Linked DNA regions of Diceros bicornis minor. Each later gene encodes a partner of the first gene's protein in a complex. Links are inferred from orthologs where the notes say so. Each region holds a gene or a part of one and is shown on either strand. Other genes may lie near its edges.

Region 1 (7,435 bases):
ACATTGGGGATTAGGGATTCAACCTATGAATTTTGCAGGGATATTCAGTCCATAGCACTCATCTGCTTCCAGAAGAGAGTCTGCTGGGCACATCACTGCCCTGCTGGACTCCTTTTCTCAGCCCTCCTTTCTGTTAGGCGTGGCCAGGTGACTAAGTTACCGCCAATGAAAAGTGAGCAGAAGTGGCGTGTGCTCCTTCAGACTGAACACTCCCTCTGCCTCCCACCCCCCGCAACCCAGCCTTGACTAGGAGGACAATGACGAGGCCCTCTAGGGGCAGACACTGTGCTAGAGGGAATCTGGGTTCCTGAGTGACCCCATGGAGCATGGCTGCCCACCCCCTGGACTGTTCACAATGGGACTGTTACATAAGAAATACAATTCTCTCTGTTCTAAGCCACTGGATTTTGGTTGAGTTTCTTTGTTAGAGTAGTTTAGCCTTTCCCTAAAGTGCTGGTTCTCAACTGGGGGACATTTGGATTGTCACAACTTGGTGTGGGGGTGCTAACAGCATCTAGTGGGGAGAGGCCAGGCATGCTGTTAAACATCCTACATGGCACAGGACAGCGCCCCACAGCAAAGAGTTATTGGCCCAAAATGTCAATAGCTCTGAGGTTGAGAAACCCTGCTCTAAAGTATATAGCAATAAAAAGAAATAGTAAGGGACTCACCTCTCACTTTGGTAGGTTCTAAAACAGGGTCTCTGTAAGAGAATCTATTACTTTTCTTATGTGAATGAAAGAAGACACATTGCTCTCTGGAAGAAGTTATTTCCAATATCTGATATGTGAAGGCCATGCCTCTTAATAATAAAGACTTTTTTTTTTAATTTTTTATTTTTGTGAGGAAGATCAGCCCTGATCTAACATCCATGCCAATCCTCCTCTTTTTGCTGAGGAACATCAGCTCAGAGCTAACATCTATTGCCAATCCTCCTCCTTTTTTTTTTTCCCCAAAGCCCTAGTAGATAGTTGTATGTCATAGTTGCACATCCTTCTAGTTGCTCTATGTGGGACACTGCCTCAGCCTGGCCTGACAAGCGGTGCATCGGTGCACACCCGGGATCCGAACTCGGGCTGCCAGCAGCGGAGCACGCATACTTAACCGCTAAGCCACAGGGCCGGCCCCAAGAATTTTTTTTAGGTGAAAGGCATGAAGACCAATTTCCCCACAGATAATGGGTAAAGGACATAAAGAAAATGATAGAAGAACTACAAATAGTCAATGAATAATGGAAAAACATGTTTAGCCCCACTTAAAATCACAGAAATACAAATTAAAACACTGAGGTTGGTTTTTTTTTGGTTATTTCTTTTTTTCTATCAAGTTTGCAAAAGTAAAAACCCTGACAAAATCTAGGGTTGACAAAAGTGTGGAAACATACTCAGGTGGGTGTCAGTTGGTATAACCTTCCCCTTGGGCAATTCATTTAGAAATGTCAGCACTTAGAATATTCGATGCTCTTTGAGCCAGCAATTCCATCTCTAAAAGTTTATCCAAAAGAACAAACCAGACAAGTGGTCAATTAAAGATGGCCACAGTCCTTGTACTCTGCCTATTGACAAGTGGAGTCTAATTCCCCACCCTTCAAATCTGGGCCCCAACGACTTGTTTGACCGATAGAATGTAGTGAGGTGATGTCTTGGGACAACTGAGGTGAGGTCACAAGAGTCTTGCAGCTTCCACTGAGGCCTCCCAGAACTCTCCAGAAGCCCTGAGTGGCCATGTAAGAAGGACTACTACCTGGGATCCCTATGGTGGAGAGGCTACATGTAGGCACTCTGGTCCATGGTGCCAGTTGAACCCAGCCTCCAGCCACCCCAGTGATCTCTATTGTATTACATAGAACAAAAGAATCACCCATCTGAGCCCTCCTGAAATGCCTGACTCATAAAAGTTGTGAGCTATAATAAAATGGTTCTTTTAAACCACTAAGTTTTCAGGAAGTTTATTATGCAGCAATAAATAACCGGAACAGACATACAAACAGCTAAATGAACAAATGTTCACCAGAGCATTATTTATGGTAATGGAAAATTGGAAACAATCAAAAGATTGTGCATCTATAAGGAGTTTGTTAAAGTATGGTACATGAACACAGTGAAATATACCTAGTAAACAGGGTGAAATAGAAGTGAGTAAAGCATGACTAGATGTTGGTGAAGAGTATCAAGTTAGAAATGAAAATAGGAGAAAGGTGGACAGTGTGACTCACCAATAAGAAAATCAACAGCCCAATTAAAAAATGGGCAAAAGATTTGGACAGACACCTCACTAAAGACATACAGATGGCAAATGTGCACGTGAAAAGGTGCTCAACACTGTACGTCACTAGAGAAATGCAAATTAAAAAAAAATGAGGTACCTCTACACACCTATTAGAATGGCCAAAATCCGGAAGATTGATACCAAATGCTGATGAGGATGTGGAGCAACATCATTCATCGCTGATGGGAATGCAAAATGGTACAGCGACTCTGGAAGGCAGTTTGGCGGTTTCTTACCAAACTAAACGTGATCTTACAGCATGATCCAGCAAATCACACTTCTTGGTATTTACCCAAAGGAACTGAAAACTGTGAAACACCTGTGCACAAATTATTACAGTAGCTCTATTCATAATTGCCCAAACTTGGAAGCAATTCAATAGGTGAATGGATAAACTGTGGTACATCCAGACAATGGAATATTATTCAGCGTTAAGAAAAAATGAGCTATCAACCCACAAAAAGGCATGGAGGAAACTTAGAATGCATATTACTAAGTGAAAGAAGCCAATTGGAAAAGGCTATATACTGTATGATTCCAACTATGTGACATTCTGGAAAAGGCAAAACCATAGACGGGAAAAACATAGTGTCTGCTGGGACACTATGGGGGGCAAGGAAAGGGATGAATAGGTGGGGAGCACAGGGGATTTTTAGGGCAGAGAGGCTATTCTGTGTGAGTGGATACATGTGTTTATACATTTGTCAAAACCTATAGAACTGTGTAACACAGAGTGAACCCTAATGTAAACTATAGACTTTAGTTAATAACAACGTATCATTTCATCAATTGTAATAAATGTATGACACCAATGCAAAATATTTATAATAGGGTAAACTGTGTGTGTGTGTGTGGAGGGAGTATCTAGGAACTCTCATTTTCTTCTGTTTTTCTATAAACCTAAAACTGCTCTAAAAAATAGTCTATTAATTAAAAAAATAATTTAGCCACTTAAAACAATAAAAAAGGTGGGTAGTGTGCAATCATGTACACTGCCTGTGTGCTTTTTCTCATCAAGCATTCAATGGGGCCAGAAAGGATGCACCCAAACTGCTAACATGGATTCAAAGGTGAACAAGAGAGTCCTGTATTCCGGGAAGTGGGGAAACTATAAGTTCCGGAATAGTTTGAATTATTATAATGAACGTAAGATTGGCAAAAACAATGAATAGGTTTCCATTTTTTAATATTTGGGGCTTCGGGAAGAGTTCAAGAAGCGGGGAATATCTCGAAACGCGCATCTTCAATAATGGAACTAGTGCTCCATTCGTCAGGCTGTGCCGCTGGTGTGACCAACAACCTTGAATCTCGGAGTCAAGGATGGGTGGGTTCTGGGGCCCGGGCTCCTCTGGTCTGGGGAACAGCGGTCCCTCGGCACCCTGTACGGGCGGAGGCACGCGGAGCCCCTTCCCCGTGGGCCCGCGCTGGCCGGGGAAGACAGAAGGCCTGCAGCGGCTGACCCTCGACTCCGCTGCCCGTCCAGTCTCCTGCGCGCATCCGAGGGCTCTCGCGGACCCTCTCGTCCCGCGACCGCGTTCGTCCACCTCGCAGGCACACGCTCTGAGCCCAACCCTGCCCAGAACTCCCGGACACAGGCGCGGACCTCCGGGGGGGAGCGGGTGGCCGGCCCCCGGCGCCACGTGTCAGCGCGGGTCCCGCCGAGCGGGCGGAGGAAGCGCGTCCGAGGCTGCGGCGCCCCGACCTCGCTCTCACACTGCCCCGCCGAGCCCCTCCTGCTCAGCTCCCGCGCGGCGCCGCGCGGATCCCGCCGACCGGAAGCCAGGGGGCGTGCCCAGCCGGCGTCCCCGCCCCCATCGGCCAATCAGCGCGCGAGACTCATGAATAGTGAGCATGCCGGCACCGCCCTCCACCCCTCGCGGCACCGCCCGCCCGCGCAGACCCAGAGCGCGGCCGCGGACGAAGATGGCGACCGCCATGTACTTGGAGCACTACCTGGACAGTAAGCGCCTCCCGCGCGCCCCGGGCCCGCCGCCCGCGCGCGGCCCTCCCCGCCGCACACCCCTGCGTGCCAGACCAAGCGCGGGGACCGTGGGGCTCGTGGGGGCGGCGGGGCGGTTGACGGCGGCGGGGGCGACGGGGACGCGCGCGGGGCGGGGCCGCGAGGGTGGTGCGCGTGGGGGGCGCGGCGCGGGGGCCCGTCGTCACGGCCCCGCCAATTCCAGGTGCGTCACGGCGGGGCGGGGCCGGCGGGGCGGGGCGGGGTCGGTGTGACCAGGCCCCGCCCCCCGGGTAAGCCCCTGCCCCCAGCCCTGCCAGCCCCGCCCCTCCCCTCCGAGAGTGGGCTCCACCCCTCCCTGCCGGCCCCGCCTCTCCATTCCCCCGCCCCATCATTGGCTAGGGCCCCGGTCAGGCCCCGCCCCATCATGGGCTAGGCCCCGCCCCTCCTGGCTGGCCCGCGCTCCTCGTCGACTCCGCCCTCCCCACCGTAGGCCCAGGCCTCGGCCTCGCCTCTGCCCTCCCTCGCTAGGTCCCGCCCTCTCCGGCTAGGCTCCGCCCCCACCCAACTGGCCCGCGCGGTGGTCTAGTCCCAACCCCCATGGACTCTGGGTCCGGCTCTGGCTCTCCAGAGTTCTGTGCCTGCTCGTACTGTGACCTGGGAGTGGCTTCCTTAGAGCGAGCTTCAGTTTGTGTGTCTGCAAGATGGGGAGGCGGTGCTGGCGGAGGGTCTCCCAGGGTGCCTGTCTCTCTGGGTACCTACAAGGCTGGTTAAGGTTCAGGGCCCACGTCCTTGAAGCTCTCGGTGCAGGCGTCCTTCCGTCTTTGTCTACAGGGAGCACAGGTTGGACCCTCCTGATAACTCCTGAGCAGATGGTTCTTTCCGGAATTTCTACAGAGAGGAAAATGCAGCCCGCAGGCCCTGGAGTGGGGAGCCTGCGTTTGAACCCTGCGGGTCTCTCCCGCTGGGGGTGCCCTTGGGTGGGGGTTGGGTTGGGTGGCTCTGGAGCGCTGTGCTGCACTGGGTGTATTCACAGCCACTCAGGCCTGGCTGCCTGGGACCCCCGCCTGAGGCTGCCGAGACCAGGGCATGAGCCCCGCTCTGCTGGAGACAGTGGGGAATCCAGCCCTCCCCAAAGGGGTTGTCCAGTCCTGGCCATTTGTTCTGCTCTCGGTGGAGGAGAGGCTCTTCCACACCGTTGTCACCAGAGAGGCCTGCACCCACGTGTCTGCTGGGGAGCATTGTGGCTTGCCCTTCTCTGTCCCAATACCTGCCTGGTGCACTCCATAAGGAGGGTTTGAGGAACGTGAGTTTTGTTGTGGTCGGACCACCTGTATGAAGGCTCGGGAATGGAGGCACCTGCTCCCTCCTTGAGCACCTGCTGTGTGCCAGGAAAGCAAACACGATCCCCATTTTCCTGGAACTTACTATCAGATGGGGCAGATGGAGTTTTTAAAAGTTTGCAGAAAGTTAAGGGCCGTGAAGACCAGCAGGTCGTGAGAGCGCGGGGATGGCACTGTCCTGCAGAGCCCTGGGTGGGACAGAGCAGGGAGGGCCTGGGGAGCCTGGAGGCTTTGGAGGGAGTTTGTGCCACTGTCTGGGTGATCTGGGAAGCACTGGGGCTTTAAGCGGCAGCTTTGTAAGGTTAGATTAGCTCTTAAAATGATCACTGGCAGCTGGGGAGAGTGGAGGGGGGCCAGGACTGGACGCTGGAGCCCAGTCGGGGGCATGGCTTGTCACGGCAGTGCAGGCGGGTGGAGAGGTTGGCCTGGACTAGAAGGATGGCAGCGCAGACAGGAAAGCAGCATGGGGTTGACCTGTGCTGTCAGGCATAGTCTCTTCAACTGCATATTAGTTAAACTTGAGTAAAATTGAAAGTTTAGTCCCTCAGTCGTCCTAGCCCTGTTTTGGTGCTTAGTAGCCTCATGTAGCCAGTGCCCGCTCTATCAGGCAGCTCAGAGAGAGAGCATTTCCATCCTTGCATAAAGTTCTGCCAGACCGCGCTGGTCTGCACTGCCTGATGCACTGGATATCAGAGTCAAGTGGAGGGCAGATCAAGGAGGACCCCAGGGTTTGAACTTGCTCAGTGTGGCGGGGTATCTGCAGAGGGGGATGCCTTGGGGTCTGGGGTGGAGGAGTCACCCGGGCCATCTTCCCTACCTCTGCCTCTGCTCACAGCTCCTTTCTAAGTTTGCCTCTAACTTTTTTTTTTTTTTTTTATGTGAGGAAGGTCAGCCGTGAGCTAACATCTGTGCCAATCCTCCTCTTTTTGCTGAGGAAACTGGCTCTGGGCTAACGTCTGTGCCCATCTTCCTCCACTTTATATGGGACGCCGCCACAGCATGGCCTGATAAGCAGTGCATTGGTGCACTCCCGGGATCCGAACCCGGGCCGCCAGCAGCAGAGCGTGCAGACTTAACCGTTACGCCATAGGGCTGGCCCCTGCCTCTAACTTCTTGAGCTTCTGACCACTTCTGAAGTGTGTCACCCTCTTCTCAGTGTTTGGTACCTGTCCCTGAGAAAAGATACATTAGTCGTTCTCTTCTCCAAACTCTAACAGAAACAGAAGACAAAGCAGGCTTCTTATTTGTAGACTTTAGGTAAAAAGCCTGGGAGGCAGATTTTGTCCTACTACTGAGAAGTACATGTCTCCGTGTTTCAGGTATCGAGAACCTTCCCTGTGAACTTCAGAGGAACTTCCAGCTGATGCGAGAGCTGGACCAGAGGACAGAAGGTGGGTTCAGGGGAGCTGGTGCAGTGGGGCCTTAGCCTAGGCTTTAGGCATTGGGTGGTGCCTTAGAGAGAGAGTTGATACTTTAAGATCAAACTTAGTTCCTTGGATTATTACACATCTTCACGTCACATCTTTATAAGCATCATCCCCTCTTTGCAGTCAAAATGTTCATTACCTTTTCTTTCCTTTAAAAGATTTTCTATTTCCAAACTACGTGTGCATAATTTAAATAGATAGCGCTTTCTGATCTCTTGAAGTTTAACTCCCTATTTCTAAATGTATGTTTTTGCTGCTATTTCTTATTTTATTTTTCTTTAGTTTTAGACTTTATCTACATAGTTGTTATGGAAAATGAAGAGTTCCTTCTCCACTTGCACCCCACCCAGCTCCTGCATACCCATCTCTCTCCCCCGTCTCCTGGTGTAGTGGATTAGAATTTGAATCTGTGGTGGGCCAGTGATGGTGTTTCCATGGGA
Region 2 (8,222 bases), on another chromosome or scaffold:
AGAAGAGGACTGGCAATGGATGTTAGCTCAGGGCTAATCTCCCTCACACACACACACACACACACACACACAACCAAAAAATCCCACAAAACTGCAGCAAATATCACCCTCAATTTGAAAGCAGTCCTTTTGTAAGATTAGAAGCAAGACAAGCATACCAACTACCACTACTCAAATGATAAAAGAAAGGATTGATACATTTATGTAAATTAATAATAGGAGCTTCTGTTCACCAAAAGATACCATTAAGAAAAGTGAAATGACAAGCTAAAAAATAGGGGAAATAATATGCAACATATATAACTGACATGTATCAGAACTTGGAATATATAAAGAACTAACAAAGATATGAGAAATGCAATAGAAAAATAGGCAAAAGACTAGAACAAGACTTCACAGAAAACTCAAATGGCAATAAACATGGAAAAAAAGGTCAATCTCACTAGTAATCAGGGAAACGCAAATTAAAATACTACAATAATAACACTAATAAGAGTTAAGATTATAGTGTGCTTTCTGTATAATGTAGACTATTTTAGCGCCATAACTATAGTAACTTTTAAAATTCTCACAACAATCCTATGTGATAATATGATAGGCATGAAGTGCTATTAACTCATATGCTGTGCATGAAAAAACTCAGAAAGTTTTCAAGTCAAGCAGTATAACACCTCCAACTTTGTTCTTTTTCAAAGTTGATGACAATTCTGTATCTCTTGTATTTCCATAAGAATTTCAGAACCTGCTTGTCAGTTTCTACAAACGAATCCTGCTGGGATTACAATCGTGATTGCATTGAATCTATGAATCAATTTGGGAATAATTGACATCTTAACAATATTGAGATTTCCAACCTAAGAACAAGGTATAGCTTCCCACTTTCTTAGGTCGTCTTTAATTTCTCTCAGCAATATTTTGTAGTAATCGATGAACATATCTTGCACATGTTTGTCAGATTTACCCCTAAATATTTCATATTTTTGAAGCTATTGTAAAATGTATTGTTTTTTATATTTTCACTTGCAATTGTTTGTTGATGGTATATAGAAATACGCTTTATTTTTTAAAATTGTGGTGAAATACACATAAAATTTACCATCTTAACCATTTTTAAATGTATAGTTTAGTGATGTTAAGTACATTGACATTGTTGTGCAACCACCATCACTATCCATCTTCAAAATCTTTTCATCTAGCAAGACTGAAACTCTGTACTCGTTAAACAATAACTCCCATTTCCTCCTCCCCTCAGCCCCTGGCAACCACCATTCTACTTTCTGTCTCTATGAATTTGACTACTCGAGGTACTTCATACAAGTGGTATCATACAGTTTTTGGTTTTTTCATGACTGGCTTATTTCACTTAGCAAAATGTTCTCAAGGTTCATCCATGTTGTATCATGTGTCAGAATTTCCTTCATTTTTAAGGGTGAATAATATTCCATTGTATGTATATACCACATTTTGTTTATCCATTTATCTGTCAATGGACATTTGGTTTGCTTCCACTCCTTGGCTATTGTGAATATCGCTGCTACAAATATGAATGTGCAATTATTTTTTTTTTGTGTGTGTGAGGAAGATCAGCCTTGAGCTAACATCTGATGCCAATCCTCCTCTTTTTGCCGAGGAAGATTGGCCTGGGCTAACATCGGTGCCCATCTTCCTCTACTTTATACGTGGGATGCCTGCCACAGCATGGCTTGATAAGCAGTGCATAGGTCCGCACCCAGGATCTGAACCTGTGAACCCTGGGATGCTGAAGCAGAGTGCACAAACTTCACCACCATGCCACTGGGCTGGCCCCTGGCTTTTATTATTTAAAAAACCATATGAAAATTCTAGCAGTTAAAAATACAATGACCAATATTAAGAACTCAATATATAGTTTTAAGAACTTAGCTTACATAGCTAGATAGAAAATATACAGACTCATGCACAAAGAAAGAGGCAAAAAAGATGATAGGAAATACAGATGGTAACCAATGAAAAATTCTGGCATATGTACAATTGAAATTCTGAAAGGAAAAGAAAGATAAGAAGAGATAGCGGCCAAGAATTTTCCAACACAGCTAAAAGATATCAAGCTACAAATAAAAGGGACTCCATGAGTGGTACTCAGCTTACTCACGAACCCAGGTGGGATAAATATAAAGAAAATCACATCTACACGCATCACAGGAAAACTGTTGAAAACTAAAGAAAAAAATACTAAAAGGAACCAGAGGAAAAAAGAGATTACTTTTCAAAGGAGTAACAAAGGAACGATGGAAACCAGAAGACAATGGAAGGACATCTTTAAAGTGCTGGAAAAAACTTGCCAAACTAGAATGCTATAACCAGCAAAAATATGAAGGATAAAATAAAGTTTTTAGGCAAATAAAAATAGAGAGAACTTGCCACCAGCAGATCTCTTGCTCTGAAAAGAGGAATTATTCAAACAGAAGGAAAAAAATTGAGTTGGAAGCACATAAATGCATATTCAAACAAGAAGCAACATAAAGGGTGATATAATGAGTACCGACTGTACAGAACAATGATTATAAAATCTTGTGTGGCTTAAAATACATGCACAGTTAAAATCCATGACAGCAATAAACACAAAAGGGGAAGGGGTAATAAGTGGGCAAAAGGAAATAAATAGTAAGATGGTAGGTATAAATTCAAATGCAGCAGTAATCATATTAAATGTAAATGGACTAAAAACTTTTCCTGTTGAAACAAGGATAGAGCAGCTTTCCAATTTTAGGCTTAGCTAGACTCTGCATGAAATGTAGTTACCAAGTACAACTGAAAAGACGGGGATTCCTAGAGCTAAAGGTGGAAGGAGGAAATAACTTTTAGCTGCCAGCCCTGCAGGGACAAACTTTGAGCAAAGTTTGAACCAAGAAAAACTGTCTTTTTAGTGCTACAGATTGTTTTTTAACATGCAAAAGATGAGGACTTGAATCTGGTTTTGTTGCAAACCTTTTATTTTGAGAAGACCTCCTGAATGTGTCATTAAGTTATGCAAATGTAAGGCAAACACTCTCTATGGAAGCTGTTTGAAAAGCTAAACTGTGCTTTGTTGTTGCAGATTCTTTTAAATTCTTGCTACTGTGTGTTTAGATCCCATTTTGGTCTTTTCACAGGAATGGCTGAAGCTAATTTTCTTCCAAATTATCCAAAAGCAAACACAACTCATCTCTGTATTCTTCTTCTGAAGACCACACACTAGTCTCACACAAAGAACTCATTTTCTTTCTATTAATATGACTTTATCTGTCCTCTTTAGGGGGAAAAAAAAAACCCTTGTTTATTTTTCTAAAAGAATCTCCCTCCTTTTTTTCTGGATGTATTTCCATTACAAATAGCTCCCATTTTACCTGAGAATGCATCTGTCTGATTTATGCAGGATGGAAAATATCCCTTCTAATAGTTATCTTGTATCCCCAAATTTCCCTCTTAATTTGGGGACAGGTCTTGGAAATAGGTGATTAAGGGTGATTCAGTAAATCTCACCACACCACACTTATGTTATCAGTGTCAGTGGTAGGATATTGAGTTGGCTAGACCATCATCTGAAAATATGTTTTTATGTTATTGAATGGTCTGGACAGTCTATATTATAGAACAATAAAGCTAAGGATTAGAGTGGAGAAAAGGTGTAGAGATAGGAAAGTATAGGTTAAGATGTAAACAAGGCAGTGCTTGAGCTGGGGGTGGAAATTCCACCTGTTTCTTAGTGGCTTAAAAATATTCATTCACTAGACACGTTTTTTTGAGTCTGTACTACTTGTACAACACTATGCCACTGGAGACGCAAAGAGACACCCTAGAAGAGCATACATCTGGGAATACATTTATAAAATGTATGTAAGAGCTACACACCAAGTGCCAAATGAACAGGGCAAATAGTCAATACTGCAAAAGTTCAGAAAAGGAAGTAAACATTGAAGTTAAGGCAATGGGAGAGACGGTGGTTTCTGAAAGGTAAAGCTGAGATAAACTGAGAAGGTGTTCTGGAGGACAGTCTACGCAGGGGGCACAAAGCAGATAAAGGTCCAGTAGCAGGAAAACCTTCCACACAAAATTGTTAAGTATTTGATATGTCTTTTCATTTGTCATTTACTGCCTTTCCCGAGAATGCAAGAAAAAAAAAGTATCACTCAGTCTCTGCCTCAAGGAGTTTAATGAGATGAGAGACAAGACAAAGAAACATACACGCAGTCAGTAGAGGACAGACAGGTCATGAAAAAGTGCTGGTGCGTGGTTCAGGCACAAATTCAGCTAAGGACAATTCTGCATAGGGCATGAGTAGAAGACAGGCCTTGGAATAAGACAGATCTAGGCTCTAAACTCAGATGTGTGCCACGAAACAGCTGTGTGACCTTGTGCAAGTCTGTGCTGTTTCCTATAAACATGGCTCTGGTAAGGTCCAACAAGTCTCTCAGTTGTGGGGAGGATGACGTCACTGTGGAGAAAGGACTTGACACGAGTGTCTAAGTTTCTACCCTTTCCCCCTCCTCATCACACCTACTCTTGCTTACAAAAAGGGTGAGATGTGCGGGGTGATGGTGCGAGCCGAAAGGGAATGATAAAGGGAGGCAACTTCCTCCCGGCCCTTCGCCCACAGCTCCCGGCCTCAGGTTCCGGGAGAGTCGCCGTAGAAGTGGGGTGAGCGCACAGAAGCGGGGAGGGAGGATCTGCTCACTGTAAACAGACGCCATCAAGAGTTCAGCTCCCATCTGCTACCGGATTTCCGTGCCACACTGAAGCCACCCCACCCATGCGCCTGCCCTCAGTGTCCCCAGCTGTGTAATGGGGACACACCGTCTCCTTCTTTCCCGGGTACCCGCCTGACCTAACCGCGTGAGAAAGGCGAGAAAGAGCCCCCAGCTGGTGGCCTCCAGCCCCGCCAGGTCCTCCTCCCACTCTGGCTTTGGCCTTTTGTACCGGCCCCACGTGACCCGCCCGGCTGGCTCTTCCCTCCTGCCCCCCCCCGCCCTCCGGCCTTTCCCGGCTCTCGGCCCAGCTCTTCCCGCTCCTCGGCCGCCCCCCTCTCGCACTGCCCCTCCCGCCTCCCCCTCGCCTACCTCCCGGCTGTTCCCGCTCCCTCCCCCAGGCCGCCGTTCCCTCGCGACACTTCCCCTCCCCCCGCGGCTCTTCCGCCGCCTCGCCTCCCCTCCCCCCGGCCGGAGCTCACTGTCTCCAAGATGGCGGCCGTGTCAGTTTGGGGCATCTCCGCGGTCCGGCCCGGGGCCCCGGGATCCCGGCTCTCTTTCCCTCCGGTAAGTAGCCGAGGGGCCACCCCCGGCCGCCCTCGGCCGCCGAGCCCGAGGCTGAGCCGCCCCGGGGCCCGCTCCGCCGCCTCGCGGGGTCGACGGGCCGCTGCAGGCCCCGCCGCGGCCTGCGCCGCCTCCCGCTGCTCTGCGCCAGGCCTCGGGCTGGGGCGCCGCGGCCGCCCCCTCGCGCCCGGCCGGCGCCCGGCTCCCCCGCCCCGCGGCCCTGCGCCTCCGCCCGCCCGCCCGGCGCTCGCGGGCCCGGCGCCCCCGCCGCTCGGGCCGGGCCCAGCCTGGGGGAGCCGGCGGCTGGGCGCGCGGCCCAGGCCGCGGAGCCTCGGGCTGGGCTGTGCCGGCGCCCGCTGTCCCTCGGGGCGCGCCCACCGCGCGGCCCCACCTGCGCCCGCCGCCCCGGGCCGGCCCGTCTGCCCGCGCTCGGGCGCTCGCTCTCCGGCTGTGGCGCGCGCGGGGGCCGCGGGGGTGACAGGCTGGCGGTGTTGTGGTGTGGAGGAGGCAGCACGTGTGGTGTTGTGTCTGTCGGGCTGACAGCCCGGCGCCGGGAGGGGAGGCGGCGGCCGCCTGTCAGTGTCGGCGAGTGGACGCGGCCGCCCGACCTGTCAGGCTCGCGGCCGCCGGCGCCCGGAACGCCGCCTTTGGACTGGCCTCGGTGGAGCGTGGGCTTGGGGAGCTGCGAGTGGGAGATGCATGGCTCCGAACTCTTGCACGTGATTTCATTGTTAACTTAGTGCTCGGGCTCTGTGCTGTCTGATGGGAACCGCGAAGCACCCGGTTGGCGAGCGCAGGGCTGTGCCGTTTCAAGTTTTTAAAGTTTCTCGCACTTTACAAAGAGAGCGCGAAGATGTGTTTGGGGCTGGGGAATGGAAACCGGGGCAGGACTGTCGGAAGCAAGCAGTGCTTTCTCTGAGGCCGCGGGGGTACTTGCAGAGTTCAAGTCTGCAGGCGCTTCACTTTCTGAGGACCTGGAGACTGGTGACAGCCCGGGCCAGAGAGACAATGAGCCACTGTCATTCATTCTTTTACCTGCGAGCTTTCTCAGTTAGGACGTTCCCAGCTTCTTACACTCGGGTTGTAGCTTAATTTAGTTTAGCGTTAATTTCTACATAATAAACTTTCTTGGAGTAATAATACGATGATTTCTGTCCTCTCCAGGCTCTCACCAAAATGAGGCATAGATCTCTCAGGGGGCTTCTTTTTAGTCTGCTAATTTAAAAATAAATCTTGGCTCAGGTTTGAGTGTTTACTGCAGCCTTTTCTTTCCTATCAGAGTTAATACTACCGCTTTCCTGGTATCTGTTAGTTTTCTTTTTGGTTTTTAATGTCACTCTTAAGAATAATTGCTGCGGGAGCCATTTTTCTAGCACTGTTTATGTTGTAATGTACATGCTTTAGAATAAGAGCAGACCTTCTAAAAAACACTCGTTAAATTTATATTTGGAGGCACAGGAGTTATTTAGATTCAGGATTTATTATTTTGGTGATTTTTAAAAAGATTGGTATCTGCCAGGTTTTGTCTTAAAGAAGGATATTGACTTTGATCCTGGAGGGGCAATATATTTATGTTTTTGTCGTATTCATTAATGTTAATTTCAGGACAGCAATCTTGAATTTTTATGAGATAGTCTCCTCTTTAGACCTGTAAACAGGCAATACATTTTTTTTTTCTGTACTGTACACTTGATATGTAGTGTGTGCACTTGAACGCAGTGATTCTGGGCCTTTCTCATTTCTTGTTTCTCTCTCTGTAGATTGGTTGTGAACACTGTGACAGTTGTTACTCCCTCCAGTCTATTGGTCAATGGTATTTTAGTTTGGTTTAGGAAAAGCTATCAGCATTTAATTGTTAAAATTTGACGGAAATTGGATTATTTTAAAATTCTTTAAGCACTTTTCACACTTGACTATTTCCAATATTATTTTTCTTTCCATTTGGAATGTTTAAAGTAATAAATTCTTAAAATATGAACTTGGTCTGTGTAATTGTCTTTGTTGTTTCTGTTAATATATGAAATAGTTAAAATTTTCTCAGTGGTTTTCTGCTATCTTGTTGACTGTTTTTATCCAGTCTCAATGTCTGGAATTTTGGAAGATGAAAGATTCACTCTTACTTTCATTGCAGGATTCTTTCTGCTAATCCAGATATTTGTTGAAGTGCTGAATAGTTTCTTGGGGAAAGATGTCAAGGAAGAGTTTCAATTCATAGACTGGTGAGCAGAGATTGTGGAGTACAGAATAGCAGCACCCCTCTGGTTAGTTGTAGCCTAAGGTCATTCATGGTATGTCTCATCTTGTTTCCTCATTGTATCCTAATTATTCATCTTTTTTTTTTTCTTTTCTTTTTTATTCCAGTGGTTTACATACATGATTGTTTTGGAATGTTGATAGAAACGTGTTAAAACTCCTACAGGTGCTCAGTAAACACTTGGTATTTGATTGCTTTAAAAGATTAGGATGTTTCAGTTAATGCTTATTTACAAAATGGGCCTTGATAGAAAACTGATCTTGTTTTAATTGTTTTTCAGGCATAAGATACACATTTTTCTGCTGGGAATGAGATGTTCTTGAGTTTTTACAACTTTATGAAGAGACCCATGTGTGGTGCTATTGAGAAATTTATTGGGAAGTTTGAAGATATTTCAAATAACAGGTTGTTTTGGTTTCTAAAGTAAAAGTGGGGAGGCACTCTATTTTGTGAAAGAAGGAAGGACTCAGGCCAGAAAACTTGTATGCTATGGTTAACTGGTTCCCAGCCTCCGAGAATGTTGTTTTCCATGGTGTAAAACTTACTCAGCATCAGGATAAGGGATAACGACTCTATGGATATACAGAATCCTTCACCATGGTAAAACTCGCTAACCCGCTGTATACGGAGTGGATTTTGGAGGCCATCAAAAAAGTGAAGAAGCAGAAACAGCGTCCTTCAGAGGAAAGGATATGTAATGC
Region 3 (7,529 bases), on another chromosome or scaffold:
ATATTTAAGGCGGATGTAAATGAAAAGATTTTAATACGAATTATGGTCTTATCAGCAACCTCTGAGATTCTCCCACAGGGATAGAGACTAGGCCTAAGCTTTTACCCGGAAGTTATGAGATTGGCCTGGCTACACTAGCATTGTTTTAAAAAGGTCAAGGCACACTTCCCCACCTTACAGGACAGGTATCTGGACACAGAGGAAACTGCTGTCCCTAATCCCTCCTAGGGACATCACTGGTCAAAAAGAGGCTTAGAGGAGAGAGGATGGCAGGTTCTGTGCACGTCTTTCCTAACTGAGCCAACACCTGGCGGTGGCCATCCCATTTACTGAGCCCCCCCCCCTTTTTTTTGAGGAAGCTTAGCCCTGAGCTAACATCTGTTGCAAATCTTCCCCTCTCTCTCTCTTTTTAAATCCCCCAACGCCCCAGTACATAGTTGTATATCCTAGTTGTAGGTCCTGCTAGTTCTTCTATGTGGGATGCCGCCTCAGCAAGGCTTGATGAGCGGTGAGTAGGTCCGCGCCCAGGATCCAAACTGGTGAACTCCGGGCCGCCAAAGTGGAACACGCGAACTAACTGCTGAGCCACCAGGCTGCCCCGCTACTGAGCCCTTTTAGATGCTAGGCAGCAAGGGAGAAGCTGGAGATGGTGTGGTCAGCCAGGCAAGGCTCCCAACCTCTAGGAGCTCTCAGGTCTTTGAAGCAAACAACAAAAAACTACACTTTGTATTTGAATATCTATCATTTTGCTGGCAAGGGGAGCATTTTAAAGGAAATGGAGGCATCTTTTAGTGAGCTTACAAATGTAACTGAGAAGACAAGATACAAATACAAGAAAGAAAATGCACAAGGACACACACAAAAGATTGCTCCCACTACCCCTCCCCTGTTCAGTTCCTCCTCAGCTCTGGGTGAGGTTATTACTGCAGTGTTCTAACCCATCTCCCTGCCACTCTGATCAGTCCCCCTCACAGCTTCCAGAAAGAAATCTCTAAAGTGCAAGTCCGATCATGGGACTCCTCTGCTTAAAGTCCCTCAGAGATTCCTCATCACCTCCAGCCCAGGCTCCTTAGCAGGGTATTCAAGTCTCAGCATGAACTGGTTCCCTAAACCATTCCTGTCTCTTCTTTTGGCAACCACCCGAACTCCACCATGCCATTAGTCACCCCCCATACACGATGCCGCTCCACATCTGTATGTGCTGTTCCCTTTGCGTGGAAAGCCCCTATCCTCCTTGTCCACCAGCAAACTTATTTGTCCTATGAAATTCCACTCTTATTTCACCTCTTCTATGAATCCTTCCCTAAACCTTCCAGACAAAACACTCCACTTCCTCCTCTGTATCACTTCTGAACCTTGCTCTTCCTTCTGTTTTCCCATTAATACTTTACAGCGTTTTACAACAACAAGCTTACTGGCCTGGGGAAACACGATGTTTTGTGCATACTAGTGTCACTCGATGCCTGGTATATAAGGCCTGGCTAATCACTCTGTGTCTCTTGAGCTGAAGTGAGGTTGAACACACAAAAGCAAACCACCATTGAGACTATGTAAAGATATATTCACAAACATTAAGATGTTATAGCCATGGCCAGGGGGATTGAAATTATAAATATCAATAACAACGGCCATTTACTGAACATTTACTCTGTCAGGAACTGTGCTAAGCGCTTTACAATGATCATCGCCTTTAATCCTGACAACAACACTGTGAGGGGGCTATTAGTGTCTCCACTTCACATATGAGAAAACTGAGGCCCAGATAAATTGAAAAACACATCCAAGAGCAATGCAGATAAAAAGTGGCAGAGCTGAAATTCAAATCGAGATCTGACATCAAAGCCCTGTACTTGACACTATTAGAGCTGATGAGTGAAATAAATAAGAGTTACGTTCCTATTATTCATTTGGGAAGGAGAGAGGGGAGCAGAACATCTACCAAATTATACAAGGAAAAGTATAAATACGGCAGGAAGTACAAAATAACATATCATTATGCCCTACTACCTTAGAAAGAATAAATCAGGAAAGATTTTCTGAAGAAAGTAAATTTTAACGAAGGTTGGGAGATGCACCCAGGCAGGAAGAAAAGCCTGTGTGAAAGCGTCAAGGCGGGAAGAACAGCGGAGCTACCTATGTGAAGTCTGGCGGGTGAGGATGGGCAGGGGGGCAACTGGTCAAAGGCTTTGACACCAACATCAATTTCTGCTTCCAGAGCTAATTGTGTTACGATGAATATGACACCCAAAGTAAAGGTTATGTTTGGTTCAAAAAAGAGAAAGGAATGGGGCCGGCCCGGTGGCATAGCAGTTAAATTCATGTGTTGTGCTTCAGCGGCCTGGGGTTTGCGGGTTCTGATCCCAGGCACAGACCTACTCACCGCTCAACTAAACCATGCTGAGGCAGCATCCCACATAGAAAAACTAGAAGGACCTACAACTACGTAGTGGGGCTTTGGGGAGAAAAAAAAAGGAGGAAGACTGGCAACAGATGTTAGCTCAGGGCCAATCTTGCTCAAAAAAAAGAAGAAAGAAAAAAGCTTTTAGGATTCCTCCTTCCCCATTCTAAATATACCTAGCTGTTTTACTTTCATCTTAAGTACACATTTTCCTTATGATCATATTTCTTTCCTATTGGTGTTAGTTTTTTCATCTTTCCGCCAGAGTGTACACTTTCCAAGGATAAGAACCACGTCTAAAAGAAACTGTAAACTCTTTTAGTGTTAGCTGCAGTGTTTGAAAATCCAATGTAAGAGATTAACCAATGTTGAACATTTGTAATGCTGGTATGTGTATGATGAATGGTTAAGTCAGGATAAGATCTTATTCTAAAATACTAATTTCCAGGGAGGGATACTTCACCATCTTTGAGTACTATACATTCAGAGACTGTGAACCCGTAAACATATTCTGATTAACAAGCAAGCATTTACTGTGGTTAGGGCATGGTCTGAGCACTATTAAGGATGGTATGAAAGAACTCATGTATGCTCTTAACACAAGAGCTCCTTCCCACTAGTCAGGGGGCCAGAACATCCAAGAGTGACCTCAGGAATACACCAGTAAGTGCAAAATAACAGTAATAGTGTGAAATTAAATGCTTAAGTGCTGAACGAATACAAAAGAAGAAATGTGAGCCCTTGTCAAATAAGTTCTTATGTGCAGTTCTACCTGAGTAGGTTATTCGAAGCTATTTATACTAAACACTAAAAGCTAAATACTAAATACTAAAAGCTGCTTGTGTTAACACCGGCCCAGAATATCCCCAAGGAGAGTGCTGGCGATGAGTCTGGAACTTTAACTCTTCAGAGTCCTCTGTTTAGCATATCAATCAGATGTTTACCTTCTGCTGCTTTGTTCTTTAGTTCTGCTCCAGGGGGAAATCTCCATCTTAGCGGGCCTCAGGTGAATCTGGGGTCCAGGATCCTAACTTAATGACTGGATCCTAACTTAATGACTGAGCTTGCCTGGATTCCACCCAGTCACTTTTGGCCAAGCTTTGGTCCTCTCAAGGCTTTTCCTGCAGCGAGACAAAATCCTCAACGCCTGCTCTCCACTTCCCAGCTTTTGCTTATGGCTCTTCTTCCAGTCTTGTTTCCTTGACCAACTTCTCCTTCCTAGGTCCTCTCAAAGCAGGCCCTATCCATGCCTGTTTTTTTTTTTTTTTTTTTTTTTTAGCTCCAGCTTCACTAAAAATACTCCTTCCTCTTCTTCCCTCCCCCAACTCCTAGTTCAAGCATCTGGATTTCCCGAGGTCACTTGGGCTAAACGGAGTTCAATGCTTCTCTAACTCTGGTACAACACCCACCCCCACCCCCGCGGGCCACCCAGGGCTCTCAAACCCATACCGCTTCTGGAGAAGGATCTTGCCTCCTCCTGCAACGTGAAAGACTAACTTACTCGCTGTTCGCTAATGGCAAGGACAATGTCTCCTCTACCAGGCAAGAAACTTCCTGATGATGGACGCTACCCCTTCGTTCCTTTTACGAGCCCCCATTCCCACCACTTTGAGACACAGGCCAGCTCTTAAAATACAGTTTCTTGAGCAAAGTATCCCTTCCCAAGTTTGAGTTTATATGCTAAACGGAGACGTCCTTTAGCCAATTAGGCAACGAATGGGTTAAATCTCAGCAACCTGATGGATTCTGGGGGTTTCCTTTCTCGACTTCAGAATTAAAACGACCGGGAAGGGGACTTTTGCCCAAGATAAAGATGAGAACCGTTAGCTTCAACTATCAGGCTTCTGCCCCAAACAAGAACGGCTACCCACGCCCACAAAGAGAGCCATTCCCCTAACTAAAAATGGCTGGCCCGGGTTTCTTCTATCGGTGCCACTTTTTGCCCCATTCCAAAATGGCGCTCACTGGCCTCAATGGAAGGAACTAAACCTCCCAGCACCCTCTCTAGCCAGTAACGTCAGGTGACGCGAGCCCCAACCGGAAGTGAAGGAAAAAGCGCCTCAGCCCGCGGCGCCTGCGCGGAAGGGTTTAGACGCTGTGAAGCAGGAGGCACTTGGGATCGTCCGCAGGATTGGGACTGCTACAGAGGCCGCCACGGAGCCCGCCGGAGCCACCGTTCCTACTGCTGCTGCCGCCGCTGCCCGAATCGGAACCGTCGGGCCGCAGCCGCCGGCAATGCCGCGAAGGAAGGTGAGAGGAACAGGACGGGAGGGATGGCGGGTTTCTAAGGACGGTCGATTGAGCAACGTGACGCAGTTAGCCACGCCTCACACTGGCTGGGCTCCAACTTCCCGCTCCCCGGAACCTAGCTCAGCAACCCTCTTTTCTGTCGGTACCCAACGGAAAAATGTGGGCCCGACCCTGGCCTCGGCCTATGCCTGCAACTATTCCCGCCCTCTGCTTGCCTGGCTCGGAGGCGTTCTTCTTGTTAATTGGTCGCTGCAACGTGTGGAAGAACATTGATTGGCTGATGACACCGCCCATTTGGGCCCAACGGTCACCTCCCCGCGTGCGGGGGCAGTGTCTGGCCCGGCCCTACCGCGCTCGGATTGGCTGTGGAGAACGATCCCTCCTCTCTTAATTGGCTGCCCTTGGCAATCTGTCCCGTGGGGGCGCGGTTTAGCGGGACCCCGATTGGTGGCGCGAATCCCGGCCCTTCCGGCTGGTGAAGCTAATCGGTGGAGAGGCGGGGTTTCGGAGCATCCTTCCTTTCCGGGCGGGGGGTACAACAAAGCGGAGGAGTGGGTGGTAGAGAACCAGCGCCCACTCCCAGGGGATCCCACTCTGGCCTGTTGCCTTTAAGCCATAATTTTTCCTTATTTGCCTAGTTGGACAGCGCCTAGAAAATGCAGTTCGTAAAATCAGAAACTTTCTAGAATTAGATGAGACTTACGAGATCACCTAGGGACACCCCCATCCCTTCTCTTTGCAGCTGAACAGAGGCCTAATGGATTACCTCAAGCCGCTCAATTAGGCAATGGCAGAGCCAGGACTACAGAACAAATCTAATTCAGTTCGACGAATGTTTATTGACTACTTGCTACGTGCTGGTTGCTGGGGATTCAAAAATTAATTCGATTTGATCCCTGGCTTAAGGAAATCACAGTCTGATGGAGAAAACAGACATATAAATGGCTGTAGAAGGATCTAGTAAATTTTCTATTTGGAAGTATATATACAAAGCGTTATGGGAGGGAAGTGAGGGAGCAATTGTCTGCTCTGGAGTAAGATGGGAAGTAGATTGGTGAAAGCCTGAGAGAAGAGCTGAGTTCCAGAGTCAGGCCTGGAAGGGATGGTCAGAGATGATCAGGGATTCAAATGTCTGGGTAATTGGACTAGACCACCTTTAAGACGTCTCCTTCATCCTATCAACTATCTGTGACTTTTTCTGGGGCCTCCACTCATTTCTGGGCAGATTACTCTTGCCATTTGGAAAGCTGGGTGGTATTCTCGCTCATTTTTGCAGAAATCTTTCTCTTCCCAGAGGTTTTCAAAAAAAATATTTACACTTTTTAATGTTTCTTAAAATGACTGCATCAGTAGGTGGTATTTATATTAAGGCTTACCAAATGCAGGAATAGTATTGGTGCCTTGGAATAGGTCCATAGTCCCCTTTCTGCAATTCCCAAATACAAAGAGCTCTTGAAGATGTAAGTTTTTTTAGTAATTTATTTGGTGGCAAAACCTGTTCTAAACTGTCCTGAGGCTACTTATAATTTTTGTGTGTCTCATTTAGTGTGATTGCTTTTATATCTTGCTGCAGAAATGTTAATAAGCTTGAGTTAATAAGTTAAGTAAGGGGGTGTTATTTGAAGGCTATATGCAAAGTGTTCCCTTTGAAAAATCTAAAAAATTATGAATTCTAAACACAACTGGCCCTAAGTGTTTTTGGATAAAGAATAGGGGACTTGTAGTTTGAAGCTTTGTATTGTTTTTTTAGCAAATACTCTTCCTATTCTGGTTTAGTAAAGAGTATAGTGTTAATGCTCAATTGATAAAAGTTATCTTTATGGCTAAATATGTCTCAGGAGGCTAATAATTAACAAATAATTATTAATTAAAAAGATAATAAAAGAACCCTCTGTTTTTGAATACCTATGAGTCTTCATGTGTAAGCTGCCTTTTTTTTTTTTTAAAGCATTCATATGGAGAAACTTAAAGGTAGATAACATAAGAAAGAATTTTACTCTTTTTCTGCTTAAGTTCTTTTGTGATCAGAATTGTGGACCGTGATATTTTGAGTTAGTGTATGGTTTTTTAAAATGTGATAGCTGTTTATGGAGATTTTGAACAAAAGCTACCCTAAAGTTAAATGGAGTCTAGCATTAACATTTGTGTCACTACCTTGGACTTTCTCTAAGTGCATGGTTATGCCAGCCAGACTATTTTGAGTTAGATAATTTTATTTCCAGTTTGTGGTACTGACCTTCAAATGGACTTGTTTCAGAGTTAGTGATAATATAGTAAGAATTAATTCTCTTTCTTCTAGTGATAATATAGTAAGAATTAATTCTCTTTCTTCATTTATTCAATAAAGGGGCATTATTTGTAGGTTTCTCCATTTAAGTGCTCTCAATAAAGGGAAGTTGGCTGTGGAGTCCTTTCTTAGGTTTGAACTTGGTGTTTTCAGCATCATGGTTGGTTTTATTTCCAGTGTTAATACAAACCCACAGAGTAAATGCTTCTGTGCTAATGTCTGGATCTATGGTGTTACAGAGGAATGCAGGCAGTAGTTCAGATGGAACCGAAGATTCCGATTTTTCTACAGATCTTGAGCACACAGATAGTTCAGAGAGCGATGGCACATCCCGGCGATCTGCCCGAGTCACCCGCTCCTCAGCCCGGCTGAGCCAGAGTTCCCAAGGTAAAAGCCTTCCTTCTTTTTGACTGTGCCTCACATCAACTCCCTGGTCATCATATCACTGTGCTAGTCAATGTGGAAACTGGTCTGTTGCCTGGTTGTAGATGACAGAATCTGGTAAAATGCAGAGTGACTGCAGAAGTGTCAGGTCTTTCAAAATGGTTCTTTTGGGGGTGCTGTCCAATTTGTAGACCCAAAGGAACCAAGTCT

The links.
Region 2: ING5 (region 1) and KAT6A share a complex: the UniProt entries of both Homo sapiens proteins name them as parts of the MOZ/MORF complex. The link is inferred for Diceros bicornis minor from reciprocal best matches to the Homo sapiens genes ING5 and KAT6A.
Region 3: ING5 (region 1) and KAT7 share a complex: the UniProt entries of both Homo sapiens proteins name them as parts of the HBO1 complex. The link is inferred for Diceros bicornis minor from reciprocal best matches to the Homo sapiens genes ING5 and KAT7.

What each region holds. Positions count from the first base shown.
Region 1 is NC_080776.1:28,457,139-28,464,573, forward strand, and holds the start of ING5 (inhibitor of growth protein 5), read left to right. Parts: upstream 1-4,181; 5' UTR 4,182-4,191; coding exon 4,192-4,228; intron 4,229-6,887; coding exon 6,888-6,959; intron 6,960-7,435. UniProt on the Homo sapiens protein: Component of the HBO1 complex, which specifically mediates acetylation of histone H3 at 'Lys-14' (H3K14ac) and, to a lower extent, acetylation of histone H4. Component of the MOZ/MORF complex which has a histone H3 acetyltransferase activity.
Region 2 is NC_080768.1:39,182,317-39,190,538, reverse strand, and holds the start of KAT6A (histone acetyltransferase KAT6A), read left to right. Parts: upstream 1-5,174; 5' UTR 5,175-5,270; intron 5,271-7,353; exon of another isoform or gene 7,354-7,555; intron 7,556-7,801; 5' UTR 7,802-8,118; coding exon 8,119-8,222. UniProt on the Homo sapiens protein: Histone acetyltransferase that acetylates lysine residues in histone H3 and histone H4 (in vitro). Component of the MOZ/MORF complex which has a histone H3 acetyltransferase activity. May act as a transcriptional coactivator for RUNX1 and RUNX2.
Region 3 is NC_080757.1:36,435,476-36,443,004, reverse strand, and holds the start of KAT7 (histone acetyltransferase KAT7), read left to right. Parts: upstream 1-4,463; 5' UTR 4,464-4,633; coding exon 4,634-4,648; intron 4,649-7,174; coding exon 7,175-7,322; intron 7,323-7,529. UniProt on the Homo sapiens protein: Catalytic subunit of histone acetyltransferase HBO1 complexes, which specifically mediate acetylation of histone H3 at 'Lys-14' (H3K14ac), thereby regulating various processes, such as gene transcription, protein ubiquitination, immune regulation, stem cell pluripotent and self-renewal maintenance and embryonic development.